Linked DNA regions of Arabidopsis thaliana. The protein of the gene in region 1 purifies or fractionates together with the protein of each later gene. This does not show direct contact. Each region holds a gene or a part of one and is shown in the gene's direction. Other genes may lie near its edges.

Region 1 (4,566 bases):
ATATTCGAAACCCAGATAATCAAAATTGGAGTTGAAATGAAAAATAATAAAGGATTGTTTTTTTTTAATCTTTCTTCTTCTTCTTTGCTGAGAGATTTCAAATCAACCAATATAAAATCTTCTTTTGACAGTTTGTATTTTCTTGTCTGTTTTGTCTTTTTTATAAATGATTTAGTTTCGAAGACAGCGCACAAAACGTGTGAATTAATTTGCTTATATTGAAAAAAAAAGAATTTACACGGTTGGATTTCAATGTGACGTCATAAAAATGCCACTCTTTAGATCTTTGATTCTTTTTCTTTTTTTATTGTTTGACATTTATGAAAGCGACTGATAAATGTTTATTTTGTAAAAGTTCTAATTTAGAATAATTTTGATTATTAATAATATTAAACTACTAAGATTTGTATAGTTTAATACCATTATCTTCTGTAACTAAGATTTGTAGATCTTTTGTTTCTGTAAGATCAAATTTACAATTTAAAGTGTACAAAATCTTACAATACTAATGATGGCATAAAGAGATTAACAATGAGATTTTTTAACGTTATTGTTATATCAAGAAAACCAGAGAAAATTAATTAGTAATTGATTGATACATTGTAAGAATAGGATCTAATGATATTTTAATATTCAAAAAGGTTCCATTATAGAGGTTACATCTGGTGAATATGATTGAATACAATTTGATATAGAGAATTAGAGATACTTGCATTATTATTTGCTTCCTATTATTATTTGACTGCATTATTGGTTTCTTTTTCTATGTAAAAAATATTTTCAACTCTCCAACAAAGAAACAAAATTCTCTGACATTTTGCTTAGAAAGAGTGGCGTTTTCGTCATTAAACAAAGGAATAGTTTTGGTGGTAACGTAAATTGTAAAAAAACAGCGAAGGAGACAATAGAAAATGAGAGCAGACATTGAAGTTAGTGGATTTTCCACAGAATGGGGCCTACAATGTTATTGCCCACTCAGAGAAATAGGGTCACTGAAAGTGATAGCTACTTCCCATTGCTGGGATCGTTGTGTACTTTTTCTAACCTAAATTTCCCTCAATGCCTTTTTCTTAACTTATAGAATTGGTCGAAACTTGAAAGTATATACAAATGCCACAGAAAAAAACATCATTTAATACCTTCTTAATTGCACGATATGATATCAGATGTTTTGTAACCAAGAATTGGTCCATGTAAACAATTTATTATGTGGCAGAGGAAGACTCAAATTCAGGTGGCTGATAAAAAGTGGGGTTTAAGATATTTCTTGAACTGGAAGACAATGAGCGTGTGTTCTCATTAGTATTACAAATCATATTTACATTATTATAAAGCGGAACATATTTACATTATACTCCAAATGATGTAACTATAAAATTTGATCTAACAATATATATCGTTAAGAAAAATAACCTAAATTTATCACAGCTTATTCATTTACACTCCTATAGAATCATAGATTTCCTACTCTTTTTTTTTTGTCATCATATAAACATATACTACTTTTTGTTCAAGGATCAATGTTTCTTAGTTTGGTGAAAGATAGAAGTAAACTGGAGTGGGCCAATGGTTAGGCGTGTAAGCCCAAACTTTGGAACGATTTTAGCCCATCTCAAAAGGAGCGTGCTATATTTTGTAAATGAAATTGCAAAATTACCTAACACAAATTTTCCTATAAAAAAACATTTCGGGTAAGAAACCGACAATTATAAAATAAAAATTGTAAGACATGTTTTATTGACACATGGAAAAATGAAGTTGGCGAAAAAGACAAACAGTAAACGTTAAGATAAAACCCTACCTATAAATATACCTTACACGCCACCTGACTTTATCAAAACCAAAAACACAAACCTTCAACGGCACGCTTTCTCCTCTGAAATCTCTGCGAGCAAACTTCTTCATCTACCTCTTACCGTACTTCAGGTTTGTGTAAATCATTTTTATAAGAACTTCAGTGAAATAGATTAGCAACCCTAATTGAATTTAATCGAATCGTAACTATTGTGAACGGAACCCATCCATCTTGCATAAAAACCCTAGTTTCTGAACAGCCTTTCGAAACTTCTAGTGTTATTGTATTGGCTCTGATCAACGTTGTTCTAAAGTTGTGAACTTTGATTGATTGCAACAGAGTGTTTAAGATGAAATCTGTCGTAATGTCGAAGAACAAGGGCTTAGCTGAACAAGATCTAAGTAAACTTGATGTAGCTCAGCTGCATCCTCTCTCTCCTGAGGTCATCTCTCGTCAAGCCACCATTAACATAGGTATACACAAGTTTTTGTTTCATTGAGTTTTGATGCTGAAGAAACTGATCAGCCGTGCATTGAAAGCTAAAGATATGACTATGCTCTCTATATCTCAGGAACCATTGGCCATGTCGCTCACGGGAAATCGACAATCGTGAAAGCCGTTTCCGGTGTGCACACTGTCAAATTCAAGAGTGAATTGGAGCGTAACATTACCATTAAACTTGGTTACGCAAACGCAAAGATTTACAAATGTGAAAAATGCCCTAGACCAGTAGCCTACAAGTGAATTCTTGCTCTTCTTTTGCTACAATAAGGTTACGTAGTGTACGTAGCAACTTATGATATGTGTTAATTATAGGTCTTTCGGGAGTGGCAAAGAAGACAACCCAAGTTGTGATGTCTCTGGACATGAGAAGTACAAGATGAAACTACTAAGACATGTCTCATTTGTTGATTGCCCGGTATAAAATGAGTTTTAACACTATTTCTAAATCTTTTGTAACCATTTTCTATATGTTAATGAGGTGTTTTGTGTGTTGATTAGGGACACGATATCCTAATGGCGACAATGCTGAATGGAGCAGCGATTATGGATGGTGCTTTACTAATCATTGCTGCGAATGAGACATGTCCACAACCACAAACAGCTGAACATCTTGCTTCTGTTGATATGATGCATCTTAAAGATATCATAATCATTCAGAACAAGATTGATCTCATCCAAGAAAACGAGGCTATTAAACAGCACGAGGACATCCAGAGATTTATAACGGTTTGATTCAATTTTCCCATTCTGTTTTTTTTTTGCATTTTTCACTTCTTGATTAGTTGGTTAAGTTTTAAACTTGTTATTACAGAACACGAATGCGGAAGGTGCTCCTATAGTTCCTGTCTCAGCGCAACTGAAATACAACATCGATGTTTTGTGTGAGTACATTGTCAAGAAGATTCCACTCCCTGTGAGGGATTTTGTGTCACCTCCAAGAATGATTGTGATTCGTTCTTTTGATGTCAATAAACCTGGCTCTGATTATGATGGTATGAAAGGTGGAGTTGCAGGTGGGAGTATCCTTCAGGTAAAACATACTCAATACCCCGAAAAACTAGGATAAATCGCGGTTGAATCAATGTAACTTATGTCTCTCTTTGCTTTGTTTGCAGGGTGTTTTGAAGGTGGGGCATATAATAGAGATAAGACCTGGAATCACTAGAAAAGATGAGAATGGAGACACTAAATGCACTCCCATTTACACGCGTATAACTTCATTGTACGCGGAACAGAACGAGCTTCAGTTTGCTGTCCCGGGAGGTTTGATTGGAATTGGGACAAGCATGGATCCTACGCTTACGCGTGGTGATAGGTTAGTTGGTCAAGTCCTTGGTGAAATAGGTACTCTCCCTGATGTCTATGTTGAACTTGAAGTGAGTTTCCAGCTTCTGACACGTCTCATTGGAGTGAAGACAAAGGAAACAGAGAGGCAAATGAGAGTGTCAAAGCTAGTCAAGGGAGAGATACTGATGTTGAATATCGGATCGATGTCTACGGGAGCTATGGTTATTGGAGTAAAGAAAGATATGGTGAAAGTTAATCTGACACTCCCTGTGTGCACCAGCATTGGAGAGAAAGTGGCTATAAGTCGCCGTGTGGATAGGCATTGGCGTTTGATCGGTCGCGGTCAGATTGAGGCTGGAACCACCATTTTTATCCCTTCTCCTCCTTCTTTGGCATGATTATATTTGATGCATTCACATATACCAAACTTGTAGTCTCATTATATCTTCAGAGTATTCCTAATCTGTCACCAAAGGAGATAACTAAACTTCTATGTGCTTATGCTTTTTGTGTGAAGTCTAACTAGAGTTTGATCAATTGCATCATCTTGATTTGTTATTAAAAGTTTTATAGTCTATGGATGTTACAGCTTAATTAACTAATTATCCTACATAGTTCATTTGAGAGAAAGATATAATTTGTGATTGTTGAAACTTGAAACTTGAAGTCTTGAAGAAACAGAAAGAAAGACTTGAAGTCATGGTCTCATTCCTAACGCCCAAAACAACAAAGATTAATAATGTGCAAAAGATGTATTGGGCCTAAAAGGCCTGGCCCATTAGCTGGATTCCGTAAGAAAAAAAAAAAAAGTGAAAAGGAAAAGAAGAAATCGTCGTTGTTGTGGAGAAGGAGAAGAAGGATAAGGATGATAACGGTAAGCGAAGTTTCCTCTTACTCTTCTTCTTCTTCAAACTTCGCGTCTCTGTCTCGTCTCAATCACAAATCATCTTCGAGATTGCGAAGCTCTTCTCTTTACAAAG
Region 2 (4,196 bases), on another chromosome or scaffold:
AAAGAATGTACATCAATTATGGATTCAAATTTTCTCTGTTCTTTGGACATGTTTTGTAAGTTTACTTTCTTTTCAAAAGTAAATATTAATGTTAATTTTTTAAAAGTTGAAAAGAAATTAAAAAGAGATTTTGATTCTAATCTTTATAGAATAATGGGAGAAACGATGACGCGTTATGCAATATTACCATACAAGTCAATTCATACGATCCAAACTCATCATTTATCAATTATCACTTGTGTCGTCAATACCAGTCAGGCAGTCACTTCTAAACTTTACAAAAAAAAAAAGAAAAAAAAAAACTGTTGATCAGTTCTTTACTACAAAAGAAAACGTCAACTAGCGACAAACTTTGATCTATCGACCATCATTAAGCGCTCGTTGCTAAACAAAAAAGTCGATAGATTTGAAAAATCTCCCGTATATAAAATATGTTGATAAATATAAAATAAGTTTATTTGATTCATTGCATGAGCCATGATTAACGTCGACAACCTTTTTCTTTCTTACATCTGCTTAAAAAAAAATCACACGCACTGAGAAGTTAGATTAAGAATGGTTGACAATTTATTTATTTTTGGTATAAAGAATGGTTGACAATTTATTTATTTTTGGTATAAAGAATGGTTGACAACTAAAGCAAACTTAAACTTATTCTTTTCGAATTACGTATGTACTATCATTATAAATATATTCTCGAATAACTCATATCAAATATATATTTGAAACGTGTATAACTAACATTCGAGATTCTTGGTTTGACGGCATATAGACAAGCCATGCAATTATGTTTTTGCAGCGAATCAAATAATCTTATTTCTTATAAAATCTAAAGAATATATAGCATAGAAATGTAAACAAAAACCAAACTCTATATTTATAGTCTCTCCTGGTGTCGAGAATAACTTTTTTGAGTATATTCTGCACAATTAGTTACTACTTACTAAGTTACTAGTGAGTAGTGATGCACAATAAACAAATTCTGACAGTTAATGGAATAGAACCAGCTTCACTTAGTTATACGTCTCTATCAACTATGAAGTAATAGAATACATTCGACTGCGAAACATTATGAAATCTTTTTATTTTCTCCTTTCTTTCGTTTGACCGATAAAACCAATGGAATGAATATAAGAAATTTCGTTTTGTTTCTGTACGTGGTATATCCACTGATTTAAACTTTTAAATTTACATGCACGGAACTTAAACACAATTGTATATTGTTTAGATTTAGAATATAATCCAGTTGTCTTGTTGGTCTAACATATTATATATATTAATTAACCCAAACTAGGTACATAAACAATTTAATATCTTAAAAGAAATACTATTATGGGGCGGCAGGCAGATCACAACCTTTAGAAATAGAAAGGTAAGACAAACTCACTTATATAGTCAAAAGCTATTAACACTTCCATAAGATATAAATCTCTCAAACTTTTGACAGTCTACAAAATACTTCACATTTTCTTAATAATCATATTATATGCTTTTGTGAAAGCATATAAAAACCTGATCATGTTCGTTTTACAGTTCTGACAATAACAACATGTTTTCTTAACTTTTTTGTAGCTGCTAGCGATCAACGACCAAACTAACGAAAACAACCAATTCTAAAGTTTGTTGTTTGTTTATGTGGTTAGTAATTCAATAATCGAATTTGGCAACCAGTTTTGGTGACTGATTTCATCAACTAATGACTAAAAATTCAGTCTATAAACATTTTCACGTTTCATATTTTGAATTAACGTTAATCACTAAAATTATTTGATTTTTTTGAAGACTACAAAACAAACATAATTTAGTACATGTACTTCAAACTAACACGACCATTAGAAAAACCTTTAAGAGCAAAAAGAGCCGGAGACAAGTTAAAGCCCATAATAGTTGTTAAGTTATCTCTTCGGCCCAAAAAGAAAAAAGACAAGAAGTATGTAATTAAAACGACGTCGTATCATAGTTAACCCTACGAGAGGAAGTACATTAGTTTGGAGAAGAGTAATAGACAGAGAGATAGAGAGAAAGAGAAGCAGTTCGGAGAAACAATGGCGGTAGAAGACACTCCCAAATCTGTTGTAACGGAAGAAGCTAAGCCTAATTCAATAGAGAATCCGATTGATCGATACCATGAGGAAGGTGATGATGCCGAAGAAGGAGAGATCGCCGGAGGAGAAGGAGACGGAAACGTTGACGAATCGAGCAAATCCGGTGTTCCTGAATCGCATCCTCTGGAACATTCATGGACTTTCTGGTTCGATAATCCTGCTGTGAAATCGAAACAAACCTCTTGGGGAAGTTCCTTGCGACCCGTGTTTACGTTTTCAACTGTTGAGGAATTTTGGAGGTTAGGTTTTTGATTTTATTTTATTTCCGACTCAATATCTGGTTTGTTCAATTATTCTGCATCTGGGTTTTGTTATAGGTTTCGATTTGTTGAGGAAAGTTATGTTCTTTATTGGGGGATTAGAAGATCCCATTGAAGTCATTATATGTTTTTGATGAATTGCTATGTTTGGTGTTTGAATTCGTAGCTAAAGCTTATGTTAGGGTTTAGCTTTGATATTCTGTTCACTTGTTTGTGAAGTAAAGTAGAAGAGCAAAGTTTGTGAGAGAAAGAGACCAACTTTGAAATCTTTCTTAGTGGTTTTCTAGGTATCAGAATTTGAGCAAACACTTTCGTGATGACTGAGGGTTGATGTTGTATAGTTCTTGCTCTTCCCAATGAGATTCATAGGTTTGTGTATTGTTCTTTCGACTTCTTATTTTAAAAGACATTTTGGTTTGCAGTTTGTACAACAACATGAAGCATCCGAGCAAGTTAGCTCACGGAGCTGACTTCTACTGTTTCAAACACATCATTGAACCTAAGTGGGAGGATCCTATTTGTGCTAATGGAGGAAAATGGACTATGACTTTCCCTAAGGAGAAGTCTGATAAGAGCTGGCTCTACACTGTACGGTTTCTATTCTTCTTTTATTTTGACTCGTAACTCCTGCGTCATCATCCAATTGAATCTCACCGGTTTTTCTTTTTACATGCTTGGTTTAGTTGCTTGCATTGATTGGAGAGCAGTTTGATCATGGAGATGAAATATGTGGAGCAGTTGTCAACATTAGAGGAAAGCAAGAAAGGATATCTATTTGGACTAAAAATGCTTCAAACGAAGCTGCTCAGGTAAATAGAAAAGACCTTTCTCATCAAAACTCATCAAACAGTCTCTCTGTGTAAAAATAAGACTTTAATTCTCGTCTGCATCAAATGTTGCAGGTGAGCATTGGAAAACAATGGAAGGAGTTTCTCGATTACAACAACAGCATAGGTTTCATCATCCATGTAAGAAGAAAGCTTCTCATAATTCTAATTCAAAAGTCTTCATTTTCTTCAGATCTCTCATTGTTTGGTTTGGTTTCTTTTTTTTTCAGGAGGATGCGAAGAAGCTCGACAGGAATGCAAAGAACGCTTACACCGCTTGAAACCTCTCAAATCTTTGCATTGTTTCAATTACAGTTTTGTATGTGAGAGATCTCTATTTATCTAAACATGACTTGACAGTCTGTCTTTGCTAGTGTTGATTGTTCACGAAGCTCTAACATTTCATTTAGTAATATATTAGTATGGTTCTTCATAATATTTACGTTGGTGCCCTTGTATAAAACCACCGGAGTGAGCGCAAGCTTTACAGACAAACAGTGCTTCTGTCTACCCAAGGCGGGCCTTAAAAGCCTGAATAGTGTATATGTTTACTTGACAAGAGCCCATGTACACTCATGAGCGATTGACTTTAACCGGTTTTAGAGAAAACTACTTTTACATTGTCACATTTACATCCTTTATAATTAACCTTTTAATTTAGGTTTTAAAGATCCACCTCAGCATTTATTTTAATGGAATGATTATTTAGCAGTGTGAACCGATTAACTCGGTTTTTGACGGTGACCGGTTTAGAGGAAATGGGAGTGTCGGTAGGAGATCTAAGTAGCGAGTATGTAAATTGTCCAACTGTCTGAAAAGGACCACTTGGGACGACAAGATTCTTCGGCTAATAATAATACATCACTCGTTTCAACAAATAAAATTTTCCTTTCTATTATTATGCAATCTTATAGCATATGGATTTGATCTTTTTTAATATATAAACAAAAGGTTTTCCAATTATGCTAAACCATAATCTGAAATTGATTTTAAATAGCTACAAT
Region 3 (5,641 bases), on another chromosome or scaffold:
ATGTGGTTTTATTCAATGCAATGATTGAAGGTTACTCGAGACTTGGGACACAATGGGAACTACATGAAGCATTGAACATCTTTCGTGACATGAGGTTCAGATTGATTCGACCTAGCCTATTGACTTTTGTTAGCCTTCTACGTGCATCTGCTTCTTTAACAAGCTTGGGACTGAGTAAACAAATCCATGGATTGATGTTCAAATATGGGTTAAACTTAGATATATTTGCTGGAAGCGCTTTGATTGATGTTTACTCAAATTGCTACTGCCTCAAGGATTCCAGGCTTGTGTTTGATGAAATGAAAGTGAAAGATCTTGTTATCTGGAATTCTATGTTTGCAGGTTATGTTCAACAATCAGAGAACGAAGAAGCTCTCAACCTGTTTCTGGAATTACAGTTATCAAGAGAAAGACCTGACGAATTCACGTTTGCCAACATGGTTACAGCAGCTGGCAACCTAGCAAGTGTTCAATTGGGTCAAGAGTTCCATTGCCAGCTTCTGAAAAGAGGCTTGGAATGTAATCCGTATATTACAAATGCTCTACTAGATATGTACGCCAAATGTGGTAGTCCCGAAGACGCTCATAAGGCTTTTGATTCAGCAGCTTCAAGAGATGTAGTTTGTTGGAATTCTGTCATCTCATCTTATGCGAATCATGGAGAAGGCAAAAAGGCTCTTCAGATGCTTGAAAAAATGATGAGTGAGGGAATAGAGCCTAACTACATCACCTTTGTTGGAGTTCTATCAGCGTGTAGCCATGCTGGTCTTGTAGAAGATGGACTTAAGCAATTTGAGTTAATGCTTCGATTTGGAATTGAACCTGAAACTGAGCACTATGTTTGTATGGTATCTCTTTTAGGCCGTGCTGGTAGATTGAACAAAGCAAGGGAGTTAATTGAGAAAATGCCGACAAAACCAGCTGCTATAGTATGGAGGAGCTTGCTGAGTGGATGCGCAAAGGCCGGTAACGTCGAGTTAGCTGAACATGCTGCTGAAATGGCTATTTTGTCTGATCCCAAGGACAGTGGATCGTTTACTATGCTTTCTAATATTTACGCGTCCAAGGGTATGTGGACTGAAGCTAAGAAGGTGAGAGAAAGAATGAAGGTTGAAGGTGTGGTGAAAGAACCTGGACGTAGTTGGATTGGGATTAATAAGGAGGTTCATATATTTTTGTCTAAGGATAAATCTCACTGCAAGGCTAATCAAATTTATGAAGTGTTAGACGACTTACTTGTGCAGATCAGAGGAGTTAGTTAATAACTACCATACAAGAACTCATTTTCTATTGGAGTGATGGACTCTATTTGGTTAAAGACCAATGCAGCAGATGAAGCTTAAAAGCGAGCCAAAGAAGAAAGAATAAGCCATGGTTAATATCGAGAAGCTGAAGGGGTAGCTAGCTCAGGAGAGCAAAGATGTTGCTATTAAGTTTTGTAATCAAGGGAAAATCGATTCTGTTCCGTTCAAATCCGAAGGAAGACTCAAAAATTAACCCCGGTTCAGTTCTCAGTTTCTTCTCATCATCTCCTAAAACCGGGTTGAGAGAGAAGTTGTAATGGTGAATGCATGAATGGTATGTTGTACATGATTCATTTGAATTTAGTTAAACCGTTTTTGAAATCAACTAAAACCGAAAAACACCAATTCAAAACAAAACAAAACAAAAATTCAGAACAGGGTTTATTGTATATAACCAAACTAAATTCTCATTCTGTTGTAAATTTTATTAAACCGGAAAACCAAATCGGACATATATGGGCCTAAAATGTTGTTGGGTCAGGCCGAATTCTAGACAGTTCTGTTCTAGTTTTTTCTCCTTTGTCGTAATCAGGTGGACGAAACGAAAACCCTCGGGATTCCTCTGCTTCTGTCTCGTCCGTCGTCGTCAATTTCTCTGCATCAGAGATTCCGGTGTCCTTCTTCCTTTCACTCGCGTATAACCTCTTTTCCTTGACGTTGTCTCCGTGAGCTCTCTGTGCTTTGACTGCAACCATGTCGACTATTATGCAGAAGATCAAAGAAATTGAAGATGAGGTAATTATTCAATCCTCTCTGATTCTTCACCTCTTCTCTTCAATTTTGGATGCATAGAACTGTGAATCCGAAATATCTATTCTGAATCAAAGAAATGATTTTTCAATCTGGGTGACTCACAAGTACGAGGTTTTTTTTGTTTATGTGGCAGATGGCTAAAACACAGAAGAATAAAGCTACTTCTCATCATCTGGGTTTGTTAAAGGTACATTTTTTCTCCTCTTTAGGTCGTTTTTTGTAGCTTTGAGAGTGAGGTTGATTGGTTGAGGTGTTTTTGCTTATCAAATGCAAATTTGGTTGATTGGTTTATATCTGTTTTGATACTTGATAAAAGCTATCATGAAATCCCAACCAGTAAGCAAGCTCATTAAGAAATATTTTAACTTCTGGTTGAAATCGTTTATGTTTTATACGAACTCCCAAATCATTGAATAAGCACAAAGCTGAGATATTTTATTTACGGCATGATCTCTTGTGAAGTTCCTTGGATCAAACAACTACTAGGCAGGCATTATATATTATTCTGTATTGATTTTAGAATTTGGTACTTATTCCTGCACCATTAGCTTCTCGTCATATTTCACTGGTCCATTTTGCAGGCCAAGCTTGCTAAGCTTCGGAGGGACCTTCTTGCACCGCCTACCAAAGGTGGCGGTGGTGGTGCTGGAGAAGGTTTTGATGTGACTAAAAGTGGAGATTCTAGAGTTGGACTGGTCGGATTTCCTTCGGTTGGAAAATCTACGCTATTAAACAAGCTGACTGGGACATTTTCCGAGGTTTGTAGTTATCGTTACGAATATTGAACTTCCTTTCTCTTGTTGTAATTGGAATTTTGAAACCTACCACGTATCCATGGCATCCTATTTCTAGTTACTTTTTGACCAACTTCCTGTGCAATATCACTTATAAGGCAAGACTGTTCGGCGCTAGTCTTTTCCTGGATAGATGAACATAAATCTTGGAATTAGAACTGTATTTTGGCTGATACTCAATTTTCTGAAGGTACATACTGTGATACACAATGTTTTCTCAGGTTGCTTCTTATGAGTTCACGACTTTGACATGCATTCCTGGTGTTATCACATATCGTGGAGCTAAAATCCAGGTATGGTATCTACATCTATGCGTCTGTGTTAATCTGTTATTTGTGGGGGAAAAATGATAATTCTTGGATAGTGTTTCCTCTGTCTTGGTAATTGTTGAAACACAATGAAATCCTTGGCTACATATGCCATGTCCTAGCTTGTAATTATCTTTTCTCGAGTCTTACTTCTATATTAAACATGTATCTTGCTTGATCTTTTAATGACTTCTTGGTACTTAGTTTAAGTCAGGAAACGACCTGTAATTATTCATTGGACACTGATGCTAATACTCTTTTTTATGTCCCCTTCTATGTGTTTGCAGTTATTAGATCTTCCTGGTATTATTGAGGGTGCTAAAGATGGAAAAGGTAGAGGAAGACAGGTAAGTCGAGTCTAAATCTCTTGAGTATTTTATATTTTGACCCTCTTTGATCATCTTTCACACTTTACTATTTCCAGGTTATAAGTACGGCTAGGACATGCAACTGCATCTTAATAGTTCTTGATGCCATAAAACCAATTACTCACAAGCGTCTCATTGAAAAAGAGCTCGAAGGATTCGGAATAAGGTATAGATTGTTTATATAACAACCTTTATACACTGTATATTTGATCGTTTCTGGTAGATAGTCTGACTCGATCATGGACTGTTGCTATGTAGGTTGAACAAGGAGCCACCAAATTTAACATTTAGGAAAAAAGACAAAGGTGGTATCAATCTAACTTCTACAGTCGCTGTCACACACCTTGACCTTGACACCGTCAAGGCGATTTGCGGTGAGTACAGGATGCACAATGCTGACATCACCCTGCGCTACGATGCAACCGCTGATGACCTCATTGATGTCATCGAGGGCAGTCGGATTTATATGCCCTGTATCTATGCTGTCAACAAGATCGATTCAATCACACTTGAGGAACTTGAAATTTTGGACAAACTTCCTCATTACTGTCCTGTCAGGTAAATGTTGTTAAATTACCGGCAGGATTTGCGATAAACTTGTTTACTTTTGCCATTAAGATATAAATTTATTTATCTTGCAGTGCGCATCTGGAGTGGAATCTTGATGGACTTCTGGACAAGATATGGGAATACTTGGATCTAACTCGAATCTACACAAAACCAAAGGCAATGAATCCGGATTATGATGATCCCGTAATCTTATCATCCAAGAAGAGAACAGTAGAGGACTTCTGCATCCGGATTCACAAAGACATGCTTAAACAATTCAAGTAGTAAGTAATTAAAATCCTTAACATTTTTCTTTTCTCTGTTATATGGTTCTTGCTCAAAAGCATCGCTCATGAATACTTAACTAATGATCTCCTGATACAGCGCTCTGGTTTGGGGTTCAAGTGCCAAACACAAGCCACAAAGAGTTGGAAAGGTTAGTTCTTCTAGCAAATCAAACAAAAGTTAATCTGGTAAATCGATATTGCAATATCCCTGACTAACTAACTATTGCTGTCTCGACATCGTATTTTATACTTCAGGAACACGAGCTTGAGGACGAGGATGTTGTTCAGATCGTTAAAAAGATATGATTTTTGCAGATAATGGAGAGCAGTCAAGAGACCAACCAAAGTAGCCATAATGAGATCTCCTATAGGAAGGTCAGGATTTCTTTTGGTTTCTCAGCTTTATCTTTCTTTTGTAATTGTATTATTATATCCAGACGAAATCTGTGTCTACACCCTTTTTTATGTCTTATTAGATACTTTTGTCTTCTTCCAATAATACTATTAAGCATGTGATTGATGTTGTCGGAACACCTCCTATTATCTCCAGTATGGGTTTGCCTAGATTTTCTCCTCCCTTGTTTTTATGTATGCAACTAGACTTTTTTGGATTTTATTTACTAAACATATGATTCAGTTTTTCTTCATGTAATAAAGAAAAACTGTTAAAACGGCCTTCATTGCACTGACCAGGTCGAGGTGTTATTATTTCTGACAGTTAGTTGTTACTTGGACTGTTGATTAAATTTAATGACATTAATAGATTTGGAAAACTATTACAACGACCTTCGTTGCAGTGTCTGGGACCGTGAATTCTGATGCACTTCTCGATTTGTCTATCCTCTTAAAGTTGGTTTGTCATTTAGTGTCTGAAATTGTAAGATTATGGACCCTTCTTTACAAGTCCTCCACCAATTCTGTCTCATCCATTTGTGTGGTTAGTAGCTTCACCAGCTTAACACTTTCACTAATCTTAATTCTTAAGATATGAAAAGCAGTTGAATGAATGCATTGGTAATTTCTTTCTTTTTTAATAAATTTTCTTTTTGTTGGTTGCTAATTTATATATGTAATAATCTTACTCTATATAAACAAGTTCCTTCAACACACAAAAGGAACCACCACCATATTGTGTCTGTAAACCAAGCTCCTAACTCTCTCATATGGCTTCTGTAAGCTTACTTGACGTTGCCATAGCCATCATTTGCCTTTTCTTCTTCTATTACATGTACTTCAAGAAACCTCATGGTCAGGTTTTTCGAAACTGGCCAGTTATTG
Region 4 (5,348 bases), on another chromosome or scaffold:
AAACATCGCTGCTCAGGATAAACTCCCCTAACCAACATTGCTTTTACCTATTTTTTAGTTTTTACTAATAGAATTGTTATGAGTGTTTGTAGTGTTGTCATTTTCATGACCCATAAATAAGTTATGTTATTCTAATGTATCTCTCTTTTTCCACACAAATTTTTAATAAAGTTATGAGTTACTTCTTTCTAAGTAGTTAGTATGAGTTTTCCAATCAATCTATTTTCCACGTTCAGTTTTCCAAATTGTATTGATCCTGTTATAGTGTAATTACGCATTTTGTAATTGGCCATGGTACTACAATACTAATACTATCATGTTATCTGCAGACTTCAATCTTTTATTTTTAAAAATTAATTATTAGCATTTGTAATATTGATGTAATTTTAATACAAACTGTTTATTAATTTGTTTGAAAACTTATGTGGACAAATAAAATTAGTATACAGAACAAAAAAATATGTTTCAATACCAAAAAAAGTTCACTCCCTAAGCTTTTCTGTCTCTTAAGGATAACATCCTGGATGAGGTCTCTCGATGATTCCCCCCACATACAACATAACCATATAAAAAAAAAATCATCAGCCAAGTGAAGCCTCGGGAACAGTAGTGTGAACCTTTGGATCCTTGGCCTATCGTCAAATGATCGACGACGGTCGAGTTGATTGATCCTACACAGTACACAACCTGAATGTTTTCCCATAGCATCTCTGCTTCATCTATTCCTTGCTAGTAGGATTGATCCCAGAAAACCATAAATTTGTTTTATAAAGATTGAACGTTTGTCTATAGATTAATTTTCAATGGATTAAACATTGTAAATTAATGGTCTTATGGATTTTGTGAGTTTAGATTATCAAGGTTAGAACTGTGTATTTTGAAAAGAATAGGTGATGCGTCATCACAATACACGCAAAAAAAAAAAGTGAAAAATATATAATACTAGTAAGTAGATTTACAAAGAAGAATTTTTCCAAAAAAGAAAGAGTTGATCCGTCGAACTCGTTAATTAAGAAGGCTCGTTGAATTTTACAAAGCAAATTCTAAAAAAAGATGCATCTATTTTTACGATATCTCGAATATATTTATTATGAGTGTTGTTGATAAGAAAGATAAAAAATTCGAGAGGCAAACAATAGTTTTCTGCAACTATAGAGATAATTAATAATTCTTATCAGCTTTTCAATCATGAGATCTGTTATTTGGTTTATAGTTTCTTATACTCTCATGTTACTCGTTCTGAGAGGTGGTAAAGGTAATATGTTGAGTTTTTTTTGTATGGACGTAACTCGTATATAATAAGATATAAAACAAGGATGTTCTTTCTAATTGCAAAAACGGTGTTGTGATTAAAGGAAATAAAAAGCATTGTTACAACGTTAACATATGGTTTAATAGTGAACTTATTTGGATTGTCATTTGTTTATTAATCGAACTAAAATTAACGTTTTTTTTTTTTTTTTTGGTTTGTGTGGTTGAGAAAACAATAGAAGTGGAAGCTGAGAAACTGTGTACAACGATAGGAGACTTGGACGGTAAATGTAGCCAAGACGGAGAAAAGTTGTGCATGAGATACATGACTGATCAATCTAAAAAAAAGTTTCTTAGCTGCACATGTAATAACGTTGTTATGTTACACAAGTACAAACATTATTGCGAATGTCAATCTCATTGTACTCCAAAACAAACGTAAGCTGTAACTCTATAATCAATATATCTCTTTACAACTAAATAAGAATTGTTGATAGAGTTTGTAGTGTTTTCACGACTCAAAAATACAAATGTTGTGCTGATTGAAGTATGAATTTTTGGTTCAAGTCTTGATCTTGATCATTGAAAAAAATCGTGAAAATATTGATCAATTGCCAACGAAAAGACGTAATGGGGTGAATCAGATAGTGTAGGATTATTTGGGGTAATTTTGTTACATTCTAAAGTATAGTGGGTGGGGTTAAATTGATAGTATTAAAAAAGTCAAGGGTTAATACGAAATACAAATATAATCAATAGCGAAAAACCAAAAAATAAATAAATAAATGACAATTTGACTCGAAAACTTTAAGAGAAAATGGAAACTGTGTCTCAATAAACCCTAGTACCCTTTTTCTCTCTTATTCTTCTATCTTCCTCCTCCTCTATCTTTCGCTCGAGCCATTGAGCAATTATGTCGATTCCTTGTCTAACCGAAGAGACAGCCAAAACTGTTCTTCGCCAGGTACAAACTTGTCTTCTTCTTCTTCTTCTGCGGTTCCTCTCTAGTAGCTTCACCAGTTTTTTTTCTTTCGATTATGTTCTGATATTTGATATCGATTTTATAGGTGGAGTTCTATTTCAGTGATAGTAATCTACCCATTGATGATTTCCTCAAGAAGACTGTTACAGAGAGCGAAGATGGCTGTAAAGTTTTAAACTTTTAAACAAATTCAGTCGCTATCGCTGTGTATTTTGATTTTTTTTTGTTATGGCTAATTGATGATTTTTTGGTTTGTCAAATAGTGGTGAGTTTGGCGTTGATTTGCTCCTTTAGTAAGATGAGAGGATATTTGAAGTTGGGTGATTCTAAAGGAGATGATATTCCTGAAGATACCATCAAAGCTGTTGCTGATACTCTTCGAACCTCTTCTGCTCTCAAGATTTCTGACGATGGTGAGTTTCATGATATAATCAAGTTTCTGTTGGGTTTGGATATAGTTAACAATTGCTTTAATTGATTCAAACGAAGTAGTGATATCTTAGAAGAAAGATAATAGTTTGAGAGTTTCAATTATAGGTGAATGGCCTGTGTAGTGCATAGTTTAAACTTAGTTTCATTAAGAAAAGTCTTTGCATGTGGATTTTACAAGTTTGATAATATGTGGTGTCAGATTGGAGAAATATGTTTTGTACAGTTTAGTGATCAATTTTGTTGGATTTTCTTAAACAGGGAAAAAGGTTGGTAGGAGTACTGAATTGTTGAAGCTGGAAGATTTGATTGAGCAACTTAATGCTAGAACAGTAGCTGCGTCACCTTTCTCCTATGATGTTAAAAGGGAAGACGTGGAATCCTTTTTCAGTCAGTATGGAAAGGTAATCCACTATCGATTGAATCATAAGCCATTGTTCAAAATTTAGATTGGTTATACAAGTTTTTGGTATATGTATGTGTCGTCCTTGCAGGTTAATAGTGTGAGGATGCCTCGTCATGTTGCAGAGTCGAGGATATTTTCTGGTGTTGCCTTGGTTGAGTTCCCTACAGAAGAGGATGCCCAGAATGTTATGAAGCAGAATTTGGTCTTTGCTGGTCAGGAGTTGGAGCTGAAACCAAAGTAATCATACTTAGACATGAAAACATGTCCTGTTTGCTGACTGTTTCTCATTTTACAAGTCTTTCCATTGAATGTTTGGATGGGTTACTTAAAAGGTGATATATTCTTTTCAGGAAAGAGTTTGATAATGAAAGGGAGAAGGATGAAGTAAAATTTGCTAATTACCAACCTCAGAAGGGATCTGCAAATCAGAAGAATGGTTCTGATCACAAAAACAATTCTGCTTATGAGCCAGAGTAGGGGTTTGACTGTTGCTATCTAATTACTTGTCTTTTCATGCTAATAATCCTCTTGATCTGATTATGGCTATTTTATCGTATTGTAGTTATCCCAAGGGTTTGATCATTTCATTCACCCTCAAGCGTTCAGCTGAAGAGGGTACCACGGAACAAAAAAGTTCTGAGGAGCCAACTGATAAGACAATGGAAGAAAGTGAAACAAAGCCAGCAGATACTCCTGATGCTGATAAAGAAAACACTGGTGAGGTTCAGGCCGAGGGAGCAGAGGATGAAGATGATGAGAAAGAAGAAAAGGGTGCTCTAGCCACCCATAAAGATAATAAGGATGTTGTCTTACGTGAAGATCTTAAGGCTGTTTTCGGAAAATTTGGTGATGTCAAGGTACTACTTGAGTTTTACTTAGCTGTCTGTCAACATGAATCAGATTCAATATCTCATATAACTGACATCATTTTCACTGATTCCTTTATTCTTTTTGTTGTGAAGTTTGTTGATTTCAAGATGGGATCTGAGACGGGTTATCTTAGGTTTGATGAACCTGAAGCATCCCAGAAAGCCCGTGCAGCAGCAGTATTAGCCAATGAAGGTGGACTAGCCGTGAAGAATTTTATTGCTGTCCTAGAACCTGTTATTGGTAAAAACACCTTTTCAACTTCAATCTTATCTTATAACTAAACCTTGTGTTCTGCTTTAGTTAAATGGTCACTTGTTTATATTGCTCTCTGTCAGGCGAAGCTGAAAAGGAGTATTGGACTCTCCTACGAAGCAAAGATCGGTTTGACAAGGGTGGCCGTGGAGGAAGGTGAGTTCATGTTTTTGTTCTGGTTTCTTTGTTATGATTTTGTTTCAAATGAAGTTTTTGTTTGGTTCTTCAGATAATAATATACTTGGTCTATGCAGGGGAGGAAGAAGAGGAGGGAGATTCGGGAGAAAGAGGGGATCAGATTCACCGGGTGGTCGCTGGAACAAATCTCAGAAGGTGGAAGCATGAGAGATTTCGCTCGTGACTGCTTCTGTTTTTCAATATATTTCTAGTTGCAACTTTAAATTTAATGTATCGACTGGTGACTCGTGATGTTATAACTAGAAATAGCTGCTTATTTGGCAAATTTTGGTTTAGTCATATTTGGTATTGTTTTGTTTAGCTTTATGTGCCTTCTTATGCACACATCTCTTTCCTTAATTATTTTAAATCGATGTTTAGGAAGCATTCTAAAAGACAAACTATTAATATTAACTGCTAAAAGTATATTCCTGTAAATTCTACAACTGTATCAATTGACTCACTGATGATGACACTATTTTACTTGAAGTAGTTAAAATTAATTTTGAAAATCAAATAGTTTTGGTATTCTTCTTGGTCTTCTCGTTTGACTTTGTCTACATTGTTATTAGGTTTTTATGCTGATTTTAGAATTAGCTGTTACTGGCAATTTCATCTTCTTCCTTTTTAATGAGAAAAAAACTCTTCTTTCATACAAAGAATGCTTTGCCGTTGTTTAGAAGAAGAAGCAACAGAGAATCTCGAAAGAAAAATGAATGAAGAAACGTATAAATAAATAAATTGAACTTTTATGATATGAGAGACTAAAAAGCGAGATTCAGAGATTGAAATCAACGGCTGAGATCACTTTCCTTTTTGTTTTGATCTCTCTCTCTCTCTCTCTCTCTCACTTCGAATTCCGTCCGCCTCTCCATGTTTGAGTTTTGAATACCTCTCTCTCTCTCTCTCATTCTCTCTCTCTCTCTCTCTCTCTCTCTCTCTCTCTCTCTCTCTCTCTCGACTTCGATTTCGATTTGTGTT

The links.
Region 2: the proteins of AT2G18720 (region 1) and EIF4E fractionate together in Arabidopsis thaliana (co-fractionation; one large-scale study listed by BioGRID). This does not show direct contact.
Region 3: the proteins of AT2G18720 (region 1) and AT4G39520 fractionate together in Arabidopsis thaliana (co-fractionation; one large-scale study listed by BioGRID). This does not show direct contact.
Region 4: the proteins of AT2G18720 (region 1) and La1 fractionate together in Arabidopsis thaliana (co-fractionation; one large-scale study listed by BioGRID). This does not show direct contact.

Annotation. Positions count from the first base shown.
Region 1 is NC_003071.7:8,114,338-8,118,903, reverse strand, and holds AT2G18720 (Translation elongation factor EF1A/initiation factor IF2gamma family protein), read left to right. Parts: upstream 1-1,905; 5' UTR 1,906-1,926; intron 1,927-2,092; exon of another isoform or gene 2,093-2,134; 5' UTR 2,135-2,144; coding exon 2,145-2,268; intron 2,269-2,366; coding exon 2,367-2,535; intron 2,536-2,565; exon of another isoform or gene 2,566-2,591; coding exon of another isoform or gene 2,592-2,611; coding exon 2,612-2,714; intron 2,715-2,797; coding exon 2,798-3,025; intron 3,026-3,110; coding exon 3,111-3,329; intron 3,330-3,414; coding exon 3,415-3,984; 3' UTR 3,985-4,049; downstream 4,050-4,566. Other genes in the region: AT2G18721 (uncharacterized protein), read right to left, coding at 1,798-1,905; SCY1 (SECY homolog 1), read left to right, coding at 4,452-4,566.
Region 2 is NC_003075.7:10,016,001-10,020,196, reverse strand, and holds EIF4E (eukaryotic translation initiation factor 4E), read left to right. Parts: upstream 1-1,964; 5' UTR 1,965-2,045; coding exon 2,046-2,344; intron 2,345-2,787; coding exon 2,788-2,953; intron 2,954-3,048; coding exon 3,049-3,174; intron 3,175-3,267; coding exon 3,268-3,333; intron 3,334-3,422; coding exon 3,423-3,473; 3' UTR 3,474-3,667; downstream 3,668-4,196. UniProt on the Arabidopsis thaliana protein: Component of the protein complex eIF4F, which is involved in the recognition of the mRNA cap, ATP-dependent unwinding of 5'-terminal secondary structure and recruitment of mRNA to the ribosome.
Region 3 is NC_003075.7:18,370,357-18,375,997, reverse strand, and holds AT4G39520 (GTP-binding protein-like protein), read left to right. Parts: upstream 1-1,758; 5' UTR 1,759-1,997; coding exon 1,998-2,039; intron 2,040-2,190; coding exon 2,191-2,244; intron 2,245-2,638; coding exon 2,639-2,815; intron 2,816-3,072; coding exon 3,073-3,144; intron 3,145-3,446; coding exon 3,447-3,506; intron 3,507-3,583; coding exon 3,584-3,693; intron 3,694-3,785; coding exon 3,786-4,085; intron 4,086-4,168; coding exon 4,169-4,360; intron 4,361-4,460; coding exon 4,461-4,512; intron 4,513-4,618; coding exon 4,619-4,669; 3' UTR 4,670-5,133; downstream 5,134-5,641. Other genes in the region: AT4G39530 (Tetratricopeptide repeat (TPR)-like superfamily protein), read left to right, coding at 1-1,262; CYP96A12 (cytochrome P450, family 96, subfamily A, polypeptide 12), read left to right, coding at 5,527-5,641. UniProt on the Arabidopsis thaliana protein: Binds GDP and GTP, and has low GTPase activity in vitro.
Region 4 is NC_003075.7:15,785,149-15,790,496, forward strand, and holds La1 (La protein 1), read left to right. Parts: upstream 1-2,045; 5' UTR 2,046-2,164; coding exon 2,165-2,215; intron 2,216-2,318; coding exon 2,319-2,397; intron 2,398-2,496; coding exon 2,497-2,646; intron 2,647-2,923; coding exon 2,924-3,066; intron 3,067-3,156; coding exon 3,157-3,305; intron 3,306-3,418; coding exon 3,419-3,541; intron 3,542-3,630; coding exon 3,631-3,925; intron 3,926-4,030; coding exon 4,031-4,178; intron 4,179-4,273; coding exon 4,274-4,346; coding exon of another isoform or gene 4,347-4,350; intron 4,351-4,444; coding exon 4,445-4,535; 3' UTR 4,536-4,848; downstream 4,849-5,348. Other genes in the region: SCRL25 (SCR-like 25), read left to right, coding at 1-21; SCRL24 (SCR-like 24), read left to right, coding at 1,189-1,255, 1,491-1,693. UniProt on the Arabidopsis thaliana protein: Binds to the 3' poly(U) terminus of nascent RNA polymerase III transcripts, protecting them from exonuclease digestion and facilitating their folding and maturation.